Linked DNA regions of Oryctolagus cuniculus. The protein of the gene in region 3 binds, or shares a complex with, the protein of the main gene of each other region. Links are inferred from orthologs where the notes say so. Each region holds a gene or a part of one and is shown on either strand. Other genes may lie near its edges.

What was found.
Region 1: MED12 (region 3) and MED13L share a complex: the UniProt entries of both Homo sapiens proteins name them as parts of the mediator complex. The link is inferred for Oryctolagus cuniculus from reciprocal best matches to the Homo sapiens genes MED12 and MED13L.
Region 2: MED12 (region 3) and MED7 share a complex: the UniProt entries of both Homo sapiens proteins name them as parts of the mediator complex. The link is inferred for Oryctolagus cuniculus from reciprocal best matches to the Homo sapiens genes MED12 and MED7.

Annotation. Positions count from the first base shown.
Region 1 is NC_091452.1:12,780,274-12,784,019, forward strand, and holds the start of MED13L (mediator of RNA polymerase II transcription subunit 13-like), read right to left. Parts: upstream 2,471-3,746; 5' UTR 2,410-2,470; coding exon 2,338-2,409; intron 1-2,337. UniProt on the Homo sapiens protein: Component of the Mediator complex, a coactivator involved in the regulated transcription of nearly all RNA polymerase II-dependent genes.
Region 2 is NC_091437.1:44,110,805-44,114,550, forward strand, and holds the start of MED7 (mediator of RNA polymerase II transcription subunit 7), read right to left. Parts: upstream 2,526-3,746; coding exon 1,824-2,525; 3' UTR 1,819-1,823; intron 1-1,818. UniProt on the Homo sapiens protein: Component of the Mediator complex, a coactivator involved in the regulated transcription of nearly all RNA polymerase II-dependent genes.
Region 3 is NC_091453.1:50,931,426-50,935,071, forward strand, and holds part of MED12 (mediator of RNA polymerase II transcription subunit 12), read left to right. Parts: intron 1-521; coding exon 522-602; intron 603-726; coding exon 727-897; intron 898-1,111; coding exon 1,112-1,256; intron 1,257-1,443; coding exon 1,444-1,494; intron 1,495-1,784; coding exon 1,785-1,903; intron 1,904-2,094; coding exon 2,095-2,238; intron 2,239-2,684; coding exon 2,685-2,848; intron 2,849-3,076; coding exon 3,077-3,208; intron 3,209-3,635; coding exon 3,636-3,646. UniProt on the Homo sapiens protein: Component of the Mediator complex, a coactivator involved in the regulated transcription of nearly all RNA polymerase II-dependent genes.

The DNA.
Region 1 (3,746 bases), on a different chromosome or scaffold from region 3:
TCTGCATTTCAAAGTTACTACCCAAAGACAATTCTATTTTTAAAAAAGAATGCATTCAAGAAATAATTCCTTGGGTAAAGAAGTTTAAGGAAGAAAACCCAAAACACAAAACTTGAGTCAGTAGAAGTACAGAATCCCCTCCTAAAACACTCAGTTTCTCCACAAGAATCTCAAGCATCTTATCTCTGTAACATTATCATTCTTACTTACGCTCTATTAGAAAGTGAAAGAAATGATACACCTTAGAGACTGTACAAATCATACACTTTCATCTGTCTACAAAATCCAGTGCATGTAGAAATTAGCCACATACACACAAGCCATTACCAGTCAGCATGATACATGGTAATGTGGGCACTCTCTCCTCACTAATATCCGTCTACTTGGTTGTTTTAATTACCTGTAAAAGTGTCAATGTGGTCACCAGCCGCCAAACAAAAACCATTTTAAATGCCCCTTAATCAATACATTTGCTAATCTATGAAAGTCCCTCAACCTCATACCAAATGATAGATTGAGAGGAAGACAGAAGAGGAAAAGAGGCAAAGTGAGTTTTATTCCCACACACAAAAAGATCAAGGGAAAATTCTCACAGTGCTGAGAGAAGATTCACAGCTTGCAATTCAATGTTAAGATTAAATATCTGGATAAAAATGTTTGATGATAGAAAAAACTTAAGGTGATCCCACACCACAGTGGAAACAACACTATGTCATTCCATGTTTGTAGACAGAAAATCACATGTGATGTTTTTATCTGTATAAATACTGTAATGTATTTAATAAAATAATACTTCCACTTGAAAAGTTGGCAAGATTTTCTATTTCCCCACTATTCTCAAAGGGAAAAAAGCATCTATGCCACCCATAATTAAATGTAACTAATTACAATTTGAACACTAAATTATTTACCCAGCATAAACAAGGATTAAGAGGAAATAATGCTTCTATCTACAGCAGGGGTTACAGAAAATAATTTCCAAAATGCATGCTCTCCAAGAGTCCAGAGGCCCCCCCTCAAAAAAACAGGGTACACAACTTAAAATAAGTTTTTTTTTTTTAAGGTTAAATTAAATAAACCGTTCTGCCAATTTTCCAATTATATTCTACGCTTGAAACATAATTGCCTTACATCTGTTTACAAATCTTTGCTCAATATTTAAACAAATTCGTAGTCTCCCGGGCACATAGCTATACATACAGTAACTCATGCACAAAGCACACATTTAAAGACCACGCATTGCAATTATTAGTCTAAACACCAGGTTGAACAACGTGAATGTTTTCGGAGCTAGGTAATACGACCCAATAAAAAGCAAAGATGGCATTTACCACCAAATGTCACTGCCACCGCCAGGAAAGAGTTGCCGGAGCCCTATACATTTTTAATTTCGATGGATCCAGACGCCGTCGTCGGGTGCCGGGCTTCCGCGAGAACAATTGACACCCTAACTGCTTCAAGATTAAGGCAGGCGATGCAAATCCAGAGGAAAAGTTGTCAATTATCAGAGAGCGAGAGCGCGAGAGGCGAAGGCAGATAAAAGCGATGTTATCACACCGCCCAGCTTGTTGCTTTTGTGTGTGTGTGTGTGTGTGGATTTGTTGTCAGCAGAGAGAAAACAGTTTTTAGAAGACACAGGGGGAGAGGGAGGAGACGCTCTCTCCGCCCTCCGTCGGCTCGGGGGCCTGGCTCTCGGGGCTCCGGCGCGGGGAGCCCCGGGAGGCGGCCGGCAGGTCCGTGTTTACGAGCGCCGGAGCTCCGGGGGCGACGGTCCTTTAGCCACACAATCGCATTCAATCAACTGCTTTCGGGCGAAATTGCGGCTGTCATTATGGAATTTAAAAAAAAAAAAAAAATTCAAAAGGCAGGCGGGCGGCCGATCCGACAAGAGGGGCAAAGGCTGCTGCTGATGGCAGGCGCGGGGAGCACCAGGCAAAGCCTTCCACGTTTAGGAAGGAAGGGAGAGGAGAGGGAGAGGGGGAAAAAAAAAAAAAAAAAAAAAAAACGGGGAAGAGGGGAGGGGAAGGGGGGTGTGATTGCAACAGAGGGTGGGCGTTCGAAGTGCGACCCAGAATCCGCAGCTTGGAGACTTCCACATGCAAATTCCACGCCGAGCGCTGCGCTCACAAATGATTTTTAAAGAGCCAAATAAACACTGGATGGGATCCAAGGCGAGGGAGCGACGATCCAAAAGGGGGAGAATCAGCTAGAGGCGAACGGCGGGGAGAGGCGAGGGAGGGGCGAAGTCCCGGCGGCGGGAGGAGAAAGTTGGTCGGCGGCGGAGGTCGGAGACCCCCCCCCCCCGGCCTGCCCCCTCCCCACGGCCCGGCTACTCACCAGCGAGAAGAGGTTGGAGTGACAATCCTCCAGGCTCGCCCCGTTCGCCACCCAGTTCGCTGCCGCAGTCATGATCCTCCGCGAGCCCGGCCGCCAGAGCGGGGCATGTCGGAGCGAGGCGTCCGAGGCGAGGCCGGGCCGGGCGGCGGCGCCTCGCCGGGGAGCGCGGAGCGGCCGGGCCGCCGCCGCCGCCGGAGGAGGAGGAGGAGGAGGAGGAGGAGGAGGGCGGGAGGGCCGGCGGGCGGGCGGGAGGCGCCGCGGCGACGCCGCGCCGGGGGCGGCGGGCCCGGGCCGGCGGGGGGGTCCGCGGCGGCCGCGCGGCTCCTTCCTGCTCGGGCGGCGGCGGCGGCGGCGGCTGCGGCGGCGGCGGGGGGCGCTGTCCGCGCGGCCCGGCGCCCTCCCCGCCTCTCAGGGCCGCCGCTGCCTCCCGGGCCGGCGCTACGGGCCGGCCGCCGCCTCCGCCTTCCCTGATCCTCAGCCGCCGCCGCTGCCGCCGCCTTGTTTATCTCCAGCCACCGACTCCCCCTCGGGCCCCGCCGGCGCGTGAGGGGAGGCGAGCCCCGGAGCCGCCGCCGCCGCCGCCTCGGAGCCGCCGCCGCCGCGGAGCGCGAACTCGCGAAGGGGGGGGTGCGGACGAAGCCAGCGGGCGACCCCGGCAGCCGAGCGACGTCCCCTCCTTCCTCTTCCTCCCCCACCCCCCCCTCCTCCCCAGTCAGCCTCGCTTCTCCTCCCTCCCCGGGCTCGCTCGCTCTGACAGCAATGGCGGCCGCCGACCGCGGCTCGGCTCGCCATTGGCTGCCGCTGCGTCACGTGACGGGCGCCGGCCGCGCGGGGGGGCGGGGGGCGGGCGGGGGAGGGGCCCGGAGCGGCGGCGGCGGCGGCGGCGGCGGCGGCTCGCGGGAGGCGCTGCTGAGCCGAGAGCAGCCGCGTTCTCCGGCCGGGAAGAGGGAGGGAGCCGGAGAAGGAAAGAAAGAAGTGCAGGCGGCCGGCTCCCGTGGCGGGCGGCGGGCAGCCGACCCGAGGCTGCCGTGGGCGGCCGCGCGCTCTCGCGGGGCGCGGATCCTGGCGCGTTGGGGGCGCGATCGCCGGCCCCGAGCGGACCTGGTGTAGCTGCAGCCCCGCGGCCCTCGCCGGTGCTGCCGACCGCCCAGGCCAGCCGGTGTGACGAGGGCTCCCGTGGGCCGGGCAGAGGGTCCAAGTGCTTCGGAGTGTCCATCGAAGCCTCTACGCCTTTTGCCGAGGGGGAAGTCAAAGCACAGGGAGCTCAAGTCACTTGCCCGAGGTCTTGGGATTCGAACCCTTGCCACCAGCGTGCAGTGCAGCCAGGCTCGTACTGTACGCCAGGCCCTGTGCGTTCAATACAGACATGCTGGAGCGCGGGGATCCTAGTTCCTGTGTGCATTCATTCA
Region 2 (3,746 bases), on a different chromosome or scaffold from region 3:
AAGTGGTCCCAAATTGGTTTTGTACCTCAGCCCAACACTCCTCTCACAGCAATGTATTTTTTAAAAAGTCAAAAGAGAAACGGTTGTTGAGTTGTTCAAGAGCCATTTCCATCTTGCTCACTGACCAAGGTATGAGGGAGGAGGTGTGGAACAAATTTAATTTAATTAAGGGAAACCAGAATGTCCTTTGGGGGTCTCTGGTCCCAAGGTCTACACCAAGCATATTCCAGTTGGTAAAAAAAAAAAAAAAAAAAAAAAAACCTTAAATTTGAGACTTGTTAATTAGTTCTTGTCTGCTAGAAGTGTTAATTGGAAACAGCCTCTGTCTGAATGCAAAGAATGCATATTTCACACAGGGAAATTGGCCTGTAACCATTTTACAGTGAGTTGGTGAGACCTTAATGCAGCAAATCCCTATGCTAGTAAACAGGAAATGAGGGAGAAATCAAAAGCACATCACCCAGGAAAAGGCCCATCTCTACAGATGGTAATCTTGAGCATGCATCAGAATTGGAGGAAGGCTTAACACCAAGCTTGCCACGCCCTGTGCACCAGCAAGTTTCTGGTTCAGAAGGTCCAGGGTGGAGCCAGAGGAGCTTGATTTCTAACAAATCCCCAAGTGATGCTAATGCTGCTGGTCCAAAAGGACAATGGAGAACCACTGGCTTCTGTCAGAGAGTAGCAGGCAAAGATCCTGATATGAGGCCAATGGGCGGGAGGGGGAAGGAGGGAGGAGAAAAGAAAGTACAGAAATAAAATCTCAGTACCCAAGACAGTTTATTTCTTGTTCACATTAAGTTAGCTGTAGAAGGAAGAATGGAGTTAAAAGAGGACCTAATCTTCACATTCTAGAACCAAATTACTATAAACTGTTGTCACCAGGCTTGCATGGGTGTGGGCACACACCTAGCCGACTGGGGAACAGAATGGAAGATCGTGCAAGAAATCTTAGGGCACAGACTCCATTTCCCAGAACTTAGTCACATGGCCTCACACAGATATAGGGCAGTAGGGAAATGTGGTCACTGGCTGAACAGTGATATCTCAGCAAGAAGAAGCGCGAATCACTGGTGGACATCGAGCAGTTGCTCCCACCAAACCCTTCTCCCACTGCAGTCTACCAGCCTTGATCATGTCTGAGCTTAGCTTTAAAAATGTGTAATTTCAAAGAATTACAAATATTTTTAAAAATCTGTAATTTCAATCCTCTTAATTACTAAAATCTGTAATCTAAAATTTCTAACTAAGCTGACCAAAGACTTTCTACCCAAGTGACTGAGAAAAACCAATTTATGGGACCTACCAAGGTTCAAGATAAGGAAAAAGAGTCTACTGAGGTAGTAGAGTTACAAGAATCACAAGGAAAAATAAAGTTTTTGTTTCATAACAAATGGGTCTCTTTTAAAATGCTATACTACCTTATGCAGATTAGGTAAATTTTTAAATATTACATAATTTCACATTTTAGAGTATCTATCCCTCATTCTTAAAGCAAATGACAAATTTACTTTTTAAGGATGAAAGTTTGCTATTACCAAGGACACTGTCAAACTTTTACTCCAACTCCAAAAAAAAGAATGCCCCACACATCTGCAGCAAACATTTTCTTTTTCAGGTCACTATTCTTAATTTACGGGTCCCTGTTTGCCTACACTTGTTATATACTGAAATTGCTGCCTATGGCATTACGTAAGTGAAAAAGCTGGAGAGTCAAGAAAAAGGCCATTTAAACTTTTAGTTATTCATTTTAAGACTGCCCAAAAGAAAATAAACCAGTAATATTATACTATTTACCAAAAGGGAAAAAAGAAAACTAACATGAGTCACGGTCTTTCATTCATTTCATCAATTAGGACACACAAGGCAGCATCTTTTTCTATAATCTGGTCCCTTCGATGACCTGAATTTTCTCTTTGCTGCTCACTCTGTCCAGTACAATTGTTGCTATCATCAGCATCCATTGGTTCAGTTTTTACTTTTATTCCTGCTTCTGAGTGGGGTAAATCATCAGGCAAAGAGGCCAAGCAATTCTGAATCATCTCAATCACTCGCTCCAGATGCTTCTGAAACCTCTCGGCTGTTTCAAGCCTCTGTCGTTTCTGGACTTCCATCATAACTCTCAAGGTCTCTCTTGCTTGGTGGGGTCTGTATTCATTTATGAGATGATGCACATGGACAAAAAGCAGCTTAAGATCTTCCAGCTTCTCTTCTCGTTTTATACTCCCAGGGCTCCTTATCAAGATATCTAAAAGGTCCAAGAAATTAATAAGGATAGACATATTGAGTTTCCTCAGTTCTTTCTTGTGATCAAATTGCATAGGATGAAGCCTTTCGATGCCCTGACTTTCCAAAGGGCGGATAATAAGATCATCACATTGGAACTGGTTGCCAAACATCATATAACTGTCTTTGATTGGAGGGGGTGGCTTGGGAGCTAGACCTTCCTGAATATTTTCATCAGTGTATTCCTTGATGTACTGCATAGGAGGTGGAGGAAGTGCACTCACTTGCTGTGGCTCACCCATTGTGGAAGATCAAGCACCTACAAAAACAAACCAAAGATTCACAGAAGAACTACAAAACAAACCTGTCACATTTAGTGTTTACAGACAGAGCACTCCCCTTTTCTTCCGGTAGTTTCAAAGCTAACACTTACAACTCAGAATGGATGCCACCCTTTTCTAATTAAGCACTATATTCTCAACAACCCACATTATTTTTCCTTCCCTGTTAATACTTCTCTCCCAATATCTTGGAGTACCTTTTCATTTATAAAGAAAAGTCTTCTGGATTCTACACCACTTACCTTTTATGTCCCATTTCTCCACATCTCTTTATAGCAAAACTACACATGCTGTCGCCCAAACACATATCACAATCACTTTTTTTTTTAGAAGGTAGATGATTTTAAGATTTACTTTATTGATTTGAAAGGCAGAGTTACAGAGAGAGAAGGAGAAACAGAGATATCTTCCATCTGCCTTTTCATTCCCCAAATAGCTGCTAAGGACTGGGGCTGGGCCGGGGCCATGTAGAATCCAGGAACTTCATCCGGATCTCCTTTGTGAGTGATATGGGTCCAGGCACTTGGGCCATCTTCCACTGCCTTCTCAGGCATATGAGAGGAAGCCAGATAAAATTGGAACAACCAGGACTTAAACCAGTGCCCATATGGGATACTGGTGTTGCAGGGAGCCATTTAACCTGCTGCGCCACAATGCCAGCCCCTACAATCACTTTTACTATTACGAAGTGATTTCCCAAAGTAAATACTTATAACTCAAACATTTTGACAAAATTAACATTACTAAAATCTAGATACCCAGTATCATCCAAGGCTCCTAGATGAAATGATTATCCAAGTCTGTATCTTTTTTCTACATTTTATGCTACAATTTACTAACCTTTCTGTATCTACTATAGAAACTTGAAACCCAAATTCAAACCCACAGCTTCTATGGCCACAATCACTTCTACTTACTCCTTTTTAAACATAGGTATTATCATCCAATCTGAAGATTCTCAAGTGCTCTTTTAAACCGATCTGAACAGTTTTAAGACACACCCCTCCGACGTCAGGAGGCGGCAAGTACCCGTGTGCCTCTGCGGATGCGCACCCCTCGACTTCAGCTGGCATCTTTCCAGGGTCAACTCCCTAAGAGGCATCACTGTCTCACATCCTCTCCACATCATCTTCCTGCCAAAGCTATGACCTAAGTACACGATCAATTCTATTCTTCGGATGA
Region 3 (3,646 bases):
TATTTTCATTAAGTTGAAATGCAAAGTGACAGAGAAGGAAGCGGGGTGGGGATGGGAAGAGATATCTTCCATCTATTGGTTCACTCCCAGAATACCCCCCAATAGCCAGGGCTGGGCCAGGTTGAAGCCAGGAACCCGGGACCACATCCAGGTCTCCCACTTGAGAGGCAGGGACCCAGGCATTTGATCCATCTTCTGCTGCCTCCCAGGATGCATTAATAGGCAGCTGCATTGGACTTGGAGTAGCAAGGACATGAGTCCAATATGGGATGTGGGTGTCACAAGCGGTGGCTTCACTCGCTGCACCACAGCACCTGCCCCTGTGAGATACTCTTATCCCCCATCTAAAGCTGAGGGAAACTGAGGCTCATACTGGTTAAGTGACTGGACGAGGCTTGAGTCCAGATCCTGTGCGTTCTCCAACATGGTCTCCTGCCTTCGATTCCCCTGTAAACTTTTCTAGACGCTGGCGAGCAGCTCCATAGGGCTCAAGCAGCTTTGCTTCTGTTCTGTGCCCTCAGGATCCAGGGCTGTCAGAATCCATGGACATTGACCCTAGCTCCAGTGTGCTCTTTGAGGACATGGAGAAGCCTGACTTCCCAGTAAGTTCCATCCTGAGCTCAGAGGGATGCAGCTCCTTAGATCTTCCCACCGACTCCTGAACATTCCCTTATGCCGCCACATCTCCCTTTCTGCTAAACGTTCTGCCTCTCACCTTTCTCTTAGTTGTTTTCTCCTACTATGCCCTGTGAGGGCAAGGGCAGCCCCTCCCCTGAGAAACCAGATGTTGAGAAGGAGGTGAAGCCCCCACCCAAAGAGAAGATCGAGGGCACCCTGGGGGTTCTTTATGACCAGCCTCGGCACGTGCAGTACGCCACGCACTTTCCCATCCCCCAGGTACCGTTTCCTAACACCTCATGGCGCTCTGTCAGTGAGCACACATGTCTGTCCCTCCCAGGCCTTCGCTGAGGGTTGGAGCTGTCGCTGAGGGCTTGGGGGGCGGGGGAGGGGGGCCCGGGCATGGGGCCGCCGAGGAGTGTGGCGCATGCTTTTTAAAGAGGCGGCGGGCAGGAGACCAGTGCTGGAGTCTGACGGTGCCGCCGGGATGCAGGAGGAGTCGTGCAGCCATGAGTGCAACCAGCGCTTGGTCGTACTGTTTGGGGTGGGAAAGCAGCGAGACGATGCCCGCCACGCCATCAAGAAGATCACCAAGGATATCCTGAAGGTTCTGAACCGCAAGGGGACTGCAGAAACTGGTGGGTGAGAGGCTCCTTGAACAGATCTGCCCCCCTCCCCAGCCACCACCAGCCGCAGAGTGCCCTAGGCAGTGTTCCCTCCCCCAGCGTAGGGAACGCCCCAGTCACATCCCGATGTCCTGTCTCTTGGAGTCTCCTCAGAGCTCTAGTCCTTTTGAAACTTCCCCCTCATTCCCCCCCTCTGCAGACCAGCTTGCTCCTATTGTGCCTCTGAATCCTGGAGACCTGACATTCTTAGGTACCTCACAGTAAGCCCCATACTGCCCTCCTTCCCTCCCCCTTCCCTCCCTCAACCTAGCTCCTCCCTGTACGTACTCCTCTAAGGGCCGCATAGTCTGTGGTCCTCAAACCTTGGCTTCACTCTCCCCCTCCCTCCCTTCCCTCCCTTCTCCCCTCTTCCTTCCCTCCCCGCCTCCCTTTCCCTTCTCCCTCCTCCCTCCCTCCCTCCCCCCACCCCCCCATAGCCTCCCCCCCCATCAGCTAGTTCTCTGCTGTGTCCTAACTGGCGCCTTTCAACTGTCCCCTCAGGTGGGGAGGATGGGCAGAAGCGGCGGCGCAACCGGCCTGAAGCCTTCCCCACTGCTGAAGATATCTTTGCTAAGTTCCAGCATCTTTCACATTATGACCAACACCAGGTCACGGCTCAGGTGTGGGCCTCAGCCCAGCCCCTTCCCGCATTCTGGCCTCCTGTCCAGTTTTCCTGTCACCTTTATCTTTTGTTTCCCCCTTAGGCAGGCCAAGCCTGCTGGTTTCATGCCCTTCCGCCATCATCCGTTCCTGCTTCCCTGGTTCTTCTCCCCTGCCTCCACTCCCAGCTCACTCCCACTGCCCTTATCAGGTCTCCCGGAATGTTCTGGAGCAGATCACGAGCTTTGCCCTTGGCATGTCATACCACTTGCCTCTGGTGCAGCATGTGCAGTTCATCTTCGACCTCATGGAATATTCACTGAGCATCAGTGGCCTCATCGACTTTGCCATTCAGGTGGGGAAGTTGGGTGGAGGAAGGAGTTCGTGCTGTGTTAGGGCTGTGAGGTCAAGGGTAGAGGCTCCAGCCAGTTTGCCAGGCCATTCGGAGGGGCAGGGAGACTAGCACGGGGTGGGGCGGGGTGGGAGGGGGAAGTAGGGGTGATGGGGGTGGAGACTGGAACATGAGCTGAGACTGCAGGAATAGAGACTTAAGTGCTCCCCGGGGAGGCCCAAGAGACAGATTAGAGCATTGGGCACAGACCGTCCTTCCACCGTGGTGTTCATAGAACTGTATCCTAGAGACTGGTTAGAGGCGTCGTTAGTAGAATAAAGGACAGTGGCATATGGTAACAGGGCCCAGGGGCTCGGGCCGGGCCTTGCCAGTTTCCTCCCTGGCAGGAGGGGTTGTGTGGAACACGAGGAGGGCCCTCGTCTCATCTCTCACCCCATTCACTCTGCTAGCTGCTGAATGAACTGAGTGTAGTTGAGGCCGAGTTGCTTCTCAAATCCTCGGATCTGGTGGGCAGCTACACGACCAGCCTATGCCTGTGCATCGTGGCCGTCCTGCGGCACTATCACGCCTGCCTCATCCTCAACCAGGACCAGATGGCACAGGTCTTCGAGGGGTAAGCAGGCCTTCAAGAGAACTGCAAGGTGCCAGGCGCTCCGGTGCAGGCCTGTGTGTATGGCCAGGGAAGAACACATGGGCTGCCACCATTGGGAAGTGCGTGCCATTCAAGTGGAGACCGAATAGTGTTTCCCAAGAGACTTGAGTCTGTTTCAAGGGATCTTTGCGCGCAGGGCCCCTGCATGCCCTCTGCTGAGCCTCCCCTCCCCTTGCCTTTTCTCGGCAGGCTGTGTGGTGTGGTGAAGCATGGGATGAACCGGTCAGATGGCTCCTCTGCAGAACGCTGTATCCTCGCTTATCTCTATGATCTGTACACCTCCTGTAGCCATTTAAAGAGCAAATTTGGGGAGCTCTTCAGGTAAGAGAGGTGGGAGGTAGAGCGTAGGGAGGGACAGCAGGTCCCATCTCCTTCCTGTGAGCACCCAGCTCGGAGCAGAGCGCAGCCCAGGCCCTGGCGGTCGGGCCAGGGTCATTTGTGGACTGTGGTCTCTGCATGGTACTGCACTGCTGAGGCCTTCTTCCTCACCGACCTTGCCTGCAGCCCATGGCTGTGGGGCACATGCTCTTCCTCCCCGCCTGCAAGACGAAGCCCCCGTTCCTAGTCTCAAATACGCTTCCTTTCCTGCCTAGTCTGCTTTGTCCCGTCAGTCACCCTTTTCCTGGTCCCCAGGTCCCCATTCCCTCACTTTTCTCCTTTCTTTTCTCTGCTCCCCCTTTTCCTCACCACCCCTCCACCTCCCCAGACCTCCTTCAACACCGCTCTGCTCTCCTCCCACCCTCTGCAGTGACTTCTGCT